2 linked regions of the Drosophila melanogaster genome follow. The protein of the gene in region 1 purifies or fractionates together with the protein of each later gene. This does not show direct contact. Each region holds a gene or a part of one and is shown in the gene's direction. Other genes may lie near its edges.

Region 1 (5,233 bases):
TCATTATGTGGCCTGGGTTCGCTCCAGCGGCGATGTGTGGTTCAAGTTCGATGATGATGAGGTCTCCGCCGTGGCCACGGACGAGATTTTGCGGCTTTCCGGTGGCGGAGACTGGCATTGCGCCTATGTCCTGTTATATGCGCCCAGACGTTTGGAGAAACTATAAGTAATTGTGTTAACGTCATTACATTTGTATTGTTAATATAATAATTCTGAATAAATAACCAAATCCTTAAGGGTGAGCTCTCATTTCCAAGTCTTCAATTCGCATTGGTTTGTGACACAAAATGATTATTAGGTTTCCATAAGAAAAAGTTTTAATATTTAATGCATATGTTTTACTCAAATAACGGCTTGGTTTAAAATTTACCAACAGCGGTTCGTTTCCAATCGGCTTGTCGGCGTTACCTTGACAGGGGCAAGATGGTATTTTACAGCAATAAGGTCACACCCAAATTGTCAAATTGCAAGTTATCTTAGTGTTTATAATTATGGATAGTAATGATTCAGGAACAGCAGATGCGAATTCTGCACGGCAGTCGCTTGCTTTGCGGCGGGAATTGCGCAGAAAGAAAATATTGGAAGCGTCCAAGGCACGACTGGACAAATTGAATAGCAGATCGACGTCGGCGTTTCAGAATGAAAACCTCGGTAACACATGATCTTTTATGTACATACAGATGTGTACATATATTGTACATATGCCAATGTTATGATTTGTGTCAAACTCTCCATCTATAAATGTTTATGATTTCCTAATTGCAGATGGTGAACCCTCAAATACGCAATATTCCGATCCGGAGGTGGAGCCGGATATTCCAATAAGGCGTTCATTTCTGCCAGAACAACCTGCGCCCCAAAGAACCACGTCACGAAATGCATTTCTTAAGAGCAGAGTTCACATTATTTTGGCGGCTTGCTTTGGATTTCTTTTGGCTCTTTACACGAACACCAGTGTTTTCATTCCCGTTCTGCTTTTTGTGATTGCAGAGCTTGCATTTCTGCAGAATTACAAAGAAGACCATCTACCGGCCAGCATGGGACCCTTGTTACTTATGTTCATCAATCCGAATATTACCAGCAAAATTAAGCAGTTTAGCAGTATATTTTTTATTCTTCAGTCATTGTTGGGTGATCTTGCGATAACCGTTTGTGTTGTTTGTTCAGGAAGCATGCTCTTACTAAATTTTAGACCCGAATATGCTACAATTGTTAAATAAAAATTATGTCTTATTTAGGGGTGTGCAACATGATTAGCAAGACAAATACTATCAAAGCTAGTTGAATCATTCATTCATCTCAGATTAAGGACGTCAGTCGATGGCCAAAAAACAACCACCATTGCGTTTTCAGCACTGGCAGCGACTTTAGGTGCTGTACAGCACTGTTTATCTGAAATATTTATGTATAAAAACTTTGAAACCGTTAACAACCCTCAGTTTTAAGTCTAAATTTTCTAACTTAAGTTGGCTGATTATTAAAAAAACTCATTTAACTCTGAAAAAATGTCTTCAAATCTCTTAAAACAAAGAATAATAAGTTGTTAATACGTTGTTAGATAGAAATACAAAAAATATCTTTGCGAAAAATAACAATTCTCTTGGTTTCTTACATTTCTTTTAAGAATTTCTAAAAATAGACCCAGGCCCGTCCGCCTGTCAGGACATAGTAATAGTAATTGGAAAACACCTTCACTGAGCATGCCCAGAAACGCGAAAAAAGGAAAAGTGCCCACCCTCGCCTGTGGGCCTGCGCATACTTTGTATCGATTTTAAGACTGTGTACTTATTTCATAAGCTTGTGGCGAAAAGATGTTTTCATAAACAAGTGCAAGGTGGAAATTAGTGCTTGAAAAAATATATGATTGGTGCAATCGGCTACCGTAGATAAGTGTAATTATGCAGCCGTTAAAAATGGCATAACATCGAGCTGCTGCGCAAGGATATTCGGATTTACAAACGCACTTGGCAGATTTTTTTTCCCCCGAGTAATACGAAACTAATAAGGTAAAAACTACCTCTGGTATCCATGAATAAAGTTTAAGAAACTACAAATTAAGCTGAGTTTTCTGGGTGTGATTTCGATTTGAATGCTATCCATTTGAATATAACTGCTTTAAGTGAGAATGAGGCATGAGTACTTTGATTGAAAATCAATATTTTAAAATAACCTTACTAACGAAGGGCGACGAGGGTCTTGGTCTCAGTCTTATTGATTTGCAAACCCATTCGCAATTGCAGCCATCATGGGAACGGTGTTGAGCTTCAATCCGCGGGATCGCCATCCCATCTACTCGTCCCAGCCAAATTTTCAATATAATCACTCGACCGATATGCGGAACGAGAACGACAGCACTGGCTCCATAGACTCCCATCTGAACAACTTCTCCTACGAGCAGCTGAACAATGCCAAGAATCGGGAGAACAAGAAGTCCGCCTGCCATCCGATGGCCAAGAATGTGATTGGCCAGCCGGGTGGTCAGTGTGGCGGCGTTCACATCAATCTGCAGACACAAACCCAGCTGAGCTCACACAATTTGAACAATCTGGCGAACGCCTCCAAGGACACCATCACCAATGTGCTGGACACGCATAATGAGAACTCGGTGCTCAAGGCGGAGAAGAGCTCGTTCGAGAAGAACCTGAAGAAGCATTCGATCTTCATCAATGCGCTCTCGTGGAAGAAGCTCTCCACGTCGCACAACAAGAAGAAGATCGAGAACAAGAACAAGTGCGCCAACCTGCCCACGGCCTGCTTCAAGGCCCAGCTGCTGGAGTCCTCGTTCGCCTCGTCCTCGGACAAGAATCGCAACATCCAGCTGCACTGCAATCGCATCGATGAGCACAACCAGCAGCACTGCAACCAGCATCCCCATCCCCATCCGCACCAGCATCAGCTTCAGCTCCAGAATCAGCACCAGCACCAGAATCAGAATCAGAATCAGAACCAGAATCAGGTGCAGGATATCCGGGAGGAGGTCATGACCGGTCCGCCGGGTAAATCGCAGAATCCTTCCAAGGCGAAAGACCCCGTCAAGGTCAACAACAAGAACTCCATGTCGAACCACAACAAGCTGATCCAGAAACAGCCCCTGACGCTCAGCCTGCCCCAGCAAGTCCAGGCCTCGTCCATTCAGACCAAAAACACCAACCAGATCCCACGCAAGACCGTCATTCAGGTGCGTATTGTACCAAAATATGGTATTATATCTAGCAAGTCAGTTTTGAGATCCTAACATATTAGTGGGGATCCAACTTGTGTAGCATACTTTTGAAAAGAAAATTTTGAACTTAGATACCATATCATATCATATAATGAAAGTCAAATCATGAGATTTTTAAGCATTTCACTGTGTTTCATAATAAGTTCTTTAACAAAATACGAGATAATATATTTTCTTTGGCGAATCTATTGCATGGTACATCCTTAAGTTCAGGAATTGGAACTGATTTAAAGAAATACGTTTAGATTTAATTATATAAGCGATACAATAGATTTAAAACTCCCGCTTGTCAAAGATAGCTGGTTTCAGCTTTCCAAACAAAAGATGAAATTGGTTTTATATAGGATACTTTATATTATTTTCGAACACCTCGCAGGCCTCCACTTCGGAATTGCTTAAGTGCTTGGGCATGTTCTTGCACTGTCGTTGTCAGAGGCTAAACAATTTCGATGCCGGGGATGCGGTCATGTGGCTCAGAGCAGTGGATCGCAGCCTTTTGCTCCAAGGATGGCAGGTACAGTAGCTACTCTGCCACATGTCCTTCAAACAATAAGCACAACATTTAATTCCAAGGACGTGGCGTTCATAAACCCAGCCAATGTGGTGTTTGTCTACATGCTAGTCCGCGAGCTGGTCAGCGGAGAAGAGAGCAAGGAATCGGATCTTCAGGCATCAGTACTCACCTGTTTGTATCTGTCTTATTCGTATATGGGCAATGAAATCAGTTATCCACTCAAACCGTTTTTGGTTGAAGACTCGAAGGAAAAGTTTTGGGACAGGTATGTCAAATAATAAGTTAATTTCAATGAAATATTTTCCATCTGCATCTTAATCTTTAATGTAACATACAGGTGCCTCGTCATTGTGAACAAGCTAAGTGATAAAATGCTTAAAATCAATGCTGAGCCGGGATTTTTTACCGAAGTCTTTACTGAGCTGAAATCTTGTGGTCAATATCATCCTACAATTAAATCATACTGTGGAGGCGCCTGACGGATGGACGACCGGGAGATTATTGTCAACCTCTCATTGTCTGCGCATCGCCAGAAATTTCCGGATGAAATGATGGCGAAGTACCGTTAATAAAACTTAATATTTTATAAAACATTAGACAATTTCATTATGTCACTATCACAATCGTTCAAATCAAATAATAAAGATTAGTGTTTAAATAAATTAACATCTACGATATGTGTAAAATCTGTGTTTCCATTGCTGGGCTAATCAATCAATCTCAATCTTATGCAGAACCAAAAGAGAAGGAAAATATTCACCATATATGCAAATAAATGGTAGTTTATTATACATCTTATATACATAAATCGTTTCGTAATCTAGAAACTACTGAGAGCAATTCAATTTGGATACAGTATATCGTAGTGGCCTGGTCGATATATCAGGTAAATTCGGGGCTCGCTTCCCTCGGGGAAATCGTGGGCCTTCACAGTCCCACCTTCGCCACGGTCCAAGTACTCGACACGAACTCCAGCGCCGAGGGCGGTGCATAGAGCGATTATGTGGATGTGATCCGATTCCTTGTACATCGGCTCCACTTCCAGATGGCGGAACGCCTCAATGGTGAGGTCGCCTTCGATGAAATTTTGGTAAAAATCGGCCTCCTCCTGCAGTTTTCCCGAGGTGATCAAACGTAGGTAAACCACCACGTAGTCTGAGTAACCCTGCTCATTGAAGATCTTGTGCAACTCATCTTGGACCGTGCTGTGTCCTCCTGCATTGTCGGGGCTAACGCGCTGGATGACTTCCATGAACTGGACATACAAAAGGCTGCATAAGCATAGGGAATTCGTTTTGCATTTGTACGGCTAAACATACCGTTTCGTGAAAGTCCTCCAATGTAAAACTAGGAAATCCCAGCTGAACGAGCTTCTCCTTGGACTCCTCGGCCAGTTTTTTGAACTCCTGGTAGGCACTGGTGTTTGAGATCAAGTACTCCAAGTAGGAGTAGGCGAAGGCTCGGAAGAAACAATTGCCATCGGGGCGGGTGCGGCG
Region 2 (4,609 bases), on another chromosome or scaffold:
ACACCTGCGTTCGCTGCTCCAGCAGATTGATGTGGCCATCAATGCCCAGTCGGCCATGATGGCCGCCATGCAGGAGCCACTCTTCGTGGAGTTCGCTAATGCCTGCCTTCAAGTCGTCGAACCGATGACGGATGCTGAGCGCACTGAATTTGAGTTGTACTCCTGAATTAAGTTGACACACAGTCTCAATAAAACTAAGCCTTTATTTTGTAACTAATAGTACTGTCAATCCTTGGCAGCTTCTAGAGGAGCTTGCATTGAAGAACTCCTGGAAACTTCTCATTGAAATCCGCCGGTAAGGTTGAATCTTTTCCATAACCAGGGAAAACGTACAACTAATTATTTGGCTCGGCCATTTAAAGTTATCTATCTCAGCTGGCATATCAAACTAGTCATCAGTCTACAGCTTCGTTCCTTGGCAATCAAACTCAATCAAAGTAAATTGAAACTGGATCCGAGTTAAAAGTGATTTTTGGATGCTTCATGTGCAACTTGAAAAGCCTATGTTCCCCTTGCACTTTCCAGGTCATGGGGATGGGATCCTGTAATGAAAAATATTAGAAACGAAAGCTAATATAAGTTGTGAAATACTTAGACCTCATTAGACATGAGATACGTGTTTAGTTCCACATAAATATTAAGTGCTGTGGTACGGTTTTCTCCCAGTTTCTTCGCATCGAATGTGAACTCCTTAAATCCGAAGGTGCAATGGTATATACCCAGGACCTCGTGTGTGTTTAGGTTTTGTATTAAGGTATGAAACTTAATTTCGTCCACACAAACCGAATTTTGTATATAAAATTCATTGACATTAATGTGAAGATGCTGATACGCATGCATACCAAAATTAGCCACCTTTAGGGTCTTAATAGCCACATTTAAACCGTAAGTTTCACAAAATATGGATGTATTTTGGCTTATCTCGATCATATTTATAGTGCTTCTCTTCGCAGCTATGAGAATCTCTCTCAGAAATCCGTATCTAACGTGACCACAAAGAAATAGCTTCTTCAAGTGAGTTAGACGTTCCAGTTTCGATAGGAACCACACCATCATTTCCTCCTGGAAGCACTGCAGCTGCTCTAGGTTTCTAATCCCTTTCCAGGGCAGTTCTGTGTTCGAAATCTGGTCAATATCGAAGATACCCAGCTTCAGGGATTTTATTTTTCTGGTTTTCAGGATCTGTATCAAGTTGGTGACATTGAATTTGCTGCAGTAGGAGACCGTGAGGTTCTCGAGAAACTCGAATTCATCAAAGTGTTTGCCAGTAAACTTTCCATGGGGGCTAAAAGTTGTCAGATTTGGAAAAGTTTTCAACATTCTTGGCACGTCCGCATCGTTTAAGTTAAACGAATGCGTGGAAAATCGAAAATCTTTAAGTTTTGGAAAACTACAGCTGGTAAGTGTTTCGAAGTTAGATCTATTATTCATTTTGAGCCGCAGAGTGCTGAGGATTTGTTGAGTACTTTCCAGGAAGAATAGCAAATCCTTGTCGCTCAGCTGCATTTCAATCAAGGATATATATGCACATTTGTTATAAGCACGCCACACATACGGCATTAATTTCTTAAACCGGAAATGAAAGTCTTTCAGTTTTAGTTGGGTCTTCAAGTCGAGATAACTTAGAATTATCATTAGAACATCATCGGGCAGACATAGTAAGCCAGGCTTGGTATTCTGCAAAGGGCAAAAGAAATTAGGAAACTTGTATACTTATATTTCTGCTATATTGTTGCATTGCGGTACCATAAGATCGGTGTTTATCATTGTCGGTCTATATTCGTATGTTTAGCTAATATCGAGTCCAAATAAAACAATAAAATTATAACAAAAGTTTTATCAACATTTTTAAAATGATATCTGTTAATTTTGAGTATTTTTGGTGACAGCAGACTGTCAGCTGCGATGTTGGTTAGTCACCGCGTGCTGTAAGCGAATAACAGTGTGCTGTTAGGCGCACGAATCCCTGGCCAGCAAAAACAAACTGCAAAAACAATAATCCCCGGAGTTTTCCATCTGAACGCAAAATAATACACACCAAAACACAGCAAAATGCAGAAGTACGATAAAATGGAGAAGATCGGGGAGGGCACCTACGGCACGGTGTTCAAGGGTCGCAACCGCGACACCATGGAAATAGTGGCCCTGAAACGGGTGCGACTGGACGAGGACGACGAGGGTGTGCCCAGTTCTGCCCTCCGGGAGATCTGCCTGCTGAAGGTCAGTCGGACGAGCAGGAAGTGATTCCAGTTTATAAACTAAATCGGCACATTACCATCCGTAGGAGCTGAAGCACAAGAACATTGTGCGCCTCATAGACGTCCTGCACTCGGACAAGAAACTCACCCTGGTCTTCGAGCACTGCGACCAGGACCTCAAGAAGTACTTTGACAGCCTCAACGGGGAGATCGACATGGCCGTCTGCAGGAGCTTTATGCTCCAACTGCTCCGCGGACTGGCATTCTGCCACAGGTATACCTATATATGTATCAGCACTGGATTAGGTCTTATCTTGTGTCGATTATAGTTAGAATCAAGTGTTATTTGGAGTAACTTCATCTGTGGCACATTTCCGAATGATATCCATTTTATAGCATTGAGACTTAACTTACGCTACATTATCCTATTTTAGCCATAATGTCCTGCATCGCGATCTGAAACCACAGAACCTGCTGATCAACAAAAACGGCGAGCTAAAGCTAGCTGACTTTGGTCTCGCTAGAGCCTTTGGCATTCCCGTGAAGTGCTACTCCGCAGAAGTGGTGACCCTGTGGTACCGACCACCCGATGTCCTATTTGGAGCCAAGCTCTATACGACCAGCATAGACATGTGGTCCGCTGGATGCATTTTGGCCGAACTGGCGGACGCTGGACGACCGCTGTTTCCTGGCTCTGACGTGCTCGATCAGCTGATGAAGATCTTCCGTGTGCTGGGCACCCCCAACGAGGACTCCTGGCCAGGAGTTTCGCACCTCTCCGACTACGTGGCGCTTCCATGTAGGGATTCTAGACGGATTTTATTTATCGATACCAATATTAAAAGCCTATTTATATTATAGCTTTTCCGGCCATCACCTCGTGGAGTCAGCTGGTACCTAGGCTAAACTCCAAGGGACGCGACCTGCTGCAAAAGCTGCTCATCTGCCGGCCAAATCAGCGAATTAGCGCGGAGGCGGCGATGCAGCATCCCTACTTTACGGACAGCAGCTCTTCGGGACATTGAGGTCGGAAGGTTCTTTCCAAGCCACTGTTTTCACGACCTTTGATTAGACTTAAGCCAAAATGCGAGACTTTGTCCAGCAAAGATCTTTTAATTATATATGTATGTCCTTGCAGTAGAGTTCGATTATAGTATAAGATAAAAAGTTCTTTATAATTTCATTAGTTTGATTTACCAAAGCAAAAGGTTTGATTTATGACAATCCCTACCAATGTGACACTTAATATAGCCATTTGAGCTGCCAAATTAACATTTATCGATAAAATACTTATTGATTCAGTAAAATAGTTTTATTCTTAAAAATTTTTATGTTGAGTGTATCGTTAAGATCCGAAAATTGTTCAAATTCCTAGACGATATCTACTGTTTGTGTGAATGTGGAAAAAATATTTGAAATCCTAGTTTCTGTTTTCAAAGACTAAAAACTAGGCAATACATCTGGTTTCCAAATTTAATGAGTGTCGACGATTTTCTTATTACATTTATTGTGTATTTTTAAGAATTTCGATCTTTCTGAATGATATGAGTCATTAAGTAAATTAGAATAAAAAAAATTGAGATGTAACCTAGATTTTTAAACCAATAAAGACACTTACCGCAGCACTACGTCGTCGCAGCATGATGAATATTTTGAAGTGGTCGCCTCAACCCCCGGCACTCAATAGGGGTTAAAGTCGTTCTGCGCACTCGCGAGTTAGAAATTGAGAACTTTACAGATTGAGAGATTTTTTTATTGTGCTACGAATTGCTAACCGAACCGGTCGGATTTCTGAATCTTAAGCACCGAGTACCTCGGAAATTCTTTTATATATATTATTAGACGAATAAACAAGGCTACCTGTGGATCGGATAATTCGCTATATAGTTAATAATCGGAAAACTGTGTTAACCGCGCAGATAAAACAAAAGCTGTTATCAGCAGCAACCCATTTTCTAATATAAATAACAAATAAGTGCTGCAGAAATGACTTGGGGATTTGTAACCTGCGGCCCCAACGAGGCTTTAGTTGTCTCTGGTAAATCACACGATCCTTATATGCTCAAAATAATGTCAAATCGATTAAATAAATAAGTCAGTGAATAAAAATGAAATTGTCACGCACACACACATATATATACACCCCACCCCAAGTGACGTCACTATCGATTTTTGTGTACCGCAAATGTTGTTGTTGGGATAACAGGGGAAGAAGCTGAATATGCGGCAGTCCGAAGCCATGCGTGCGCATTTGAACGGCGTTGCGGTGCTGTTATCCAAATGCTGCAATGTTTTGTAAACAAAGTGTTTTTTGTTTGTTTTCTGCGCAGGGTGCTGCTACATGAAGCCGCTTTTGGTGCCGGGAGGACGAGCATTCGTTTGGCCAGTGGGCCAGCAGGTTCAGCGGTGAG

Evidence for each region.
Region 2: the proteins of Cdk5alpha (region 1) and Cdk5 purify together in Drosophila melanogaster (affinity purification with western blotting, with the first as the bait; one study listed by BioGRID). This does not show direct contact.

What each region holds. Positions count from the first base shown.
Region 1 is NT_033779.5:10,307,317-10,312,549, reverse strand, and holds Cdk5alpha (Cdk5 activator-like protein), read left to right. Parts: upstream 1-1,593; 5' UTR 1,594-2,006; intron 2,007-2,240; 5' UTR 2,241-2,245; coding exon 2,246-3,178; intron 3,179-3,599; coding exon 3,600-3,737; intron 3,738-3,796; coding exon 3,797-4,002; intron 4,003-4,074; coding exon 4,075-4,216; 3' UTR 4,217-4,419; downstream 4,420-5,233. Other genes in the region: Usp14 (ubiquitin specific protease 14), read left to right, coding at 1-166; l(2)SH0834 (lethal (2) SH0834), read left to right, coding at 492-651, 766-1,220; CG4968 (uncharacterized protein), read right to left, coding at 4,579-4,992, 5,057-5,233.
Region 2 is NT_033778.4:15,568,746-15,573,354, reverse strand, and holds Cdk5 (Cyclin-dependent kinase 5), read left to right. Parts: upstream 1-1,937; 5' UTR 1,938-2,052; coding exon 2,053-2,220; intron 2,221-2,284; coding exon 2,285-2,472; intron 2,473-2,632; coding exon 2,633-2,997; intron 2,998-3,059; coding exon 3,060-3,223; 3' UTR 3,224-3,816; downstream 3,817-4,609. Other genes in the region: CG8204 (uncharacterized protein), read left to right, coding at 1-166; CG30466 (uncharacterized protein), read right to left, coding at 429-542, 598-1,677, 3,817-3,840; Flo1 (flotillin 1), read left to right, coding at 4,185-4,236, 4,529-4,604. UniProt on the Drosophila melanogaster protein: Probably involved in the control of the cell cycle. Interacts with D1 and D3-type G1 cyclins. Possible regulator of neuronal differentiation and/or development.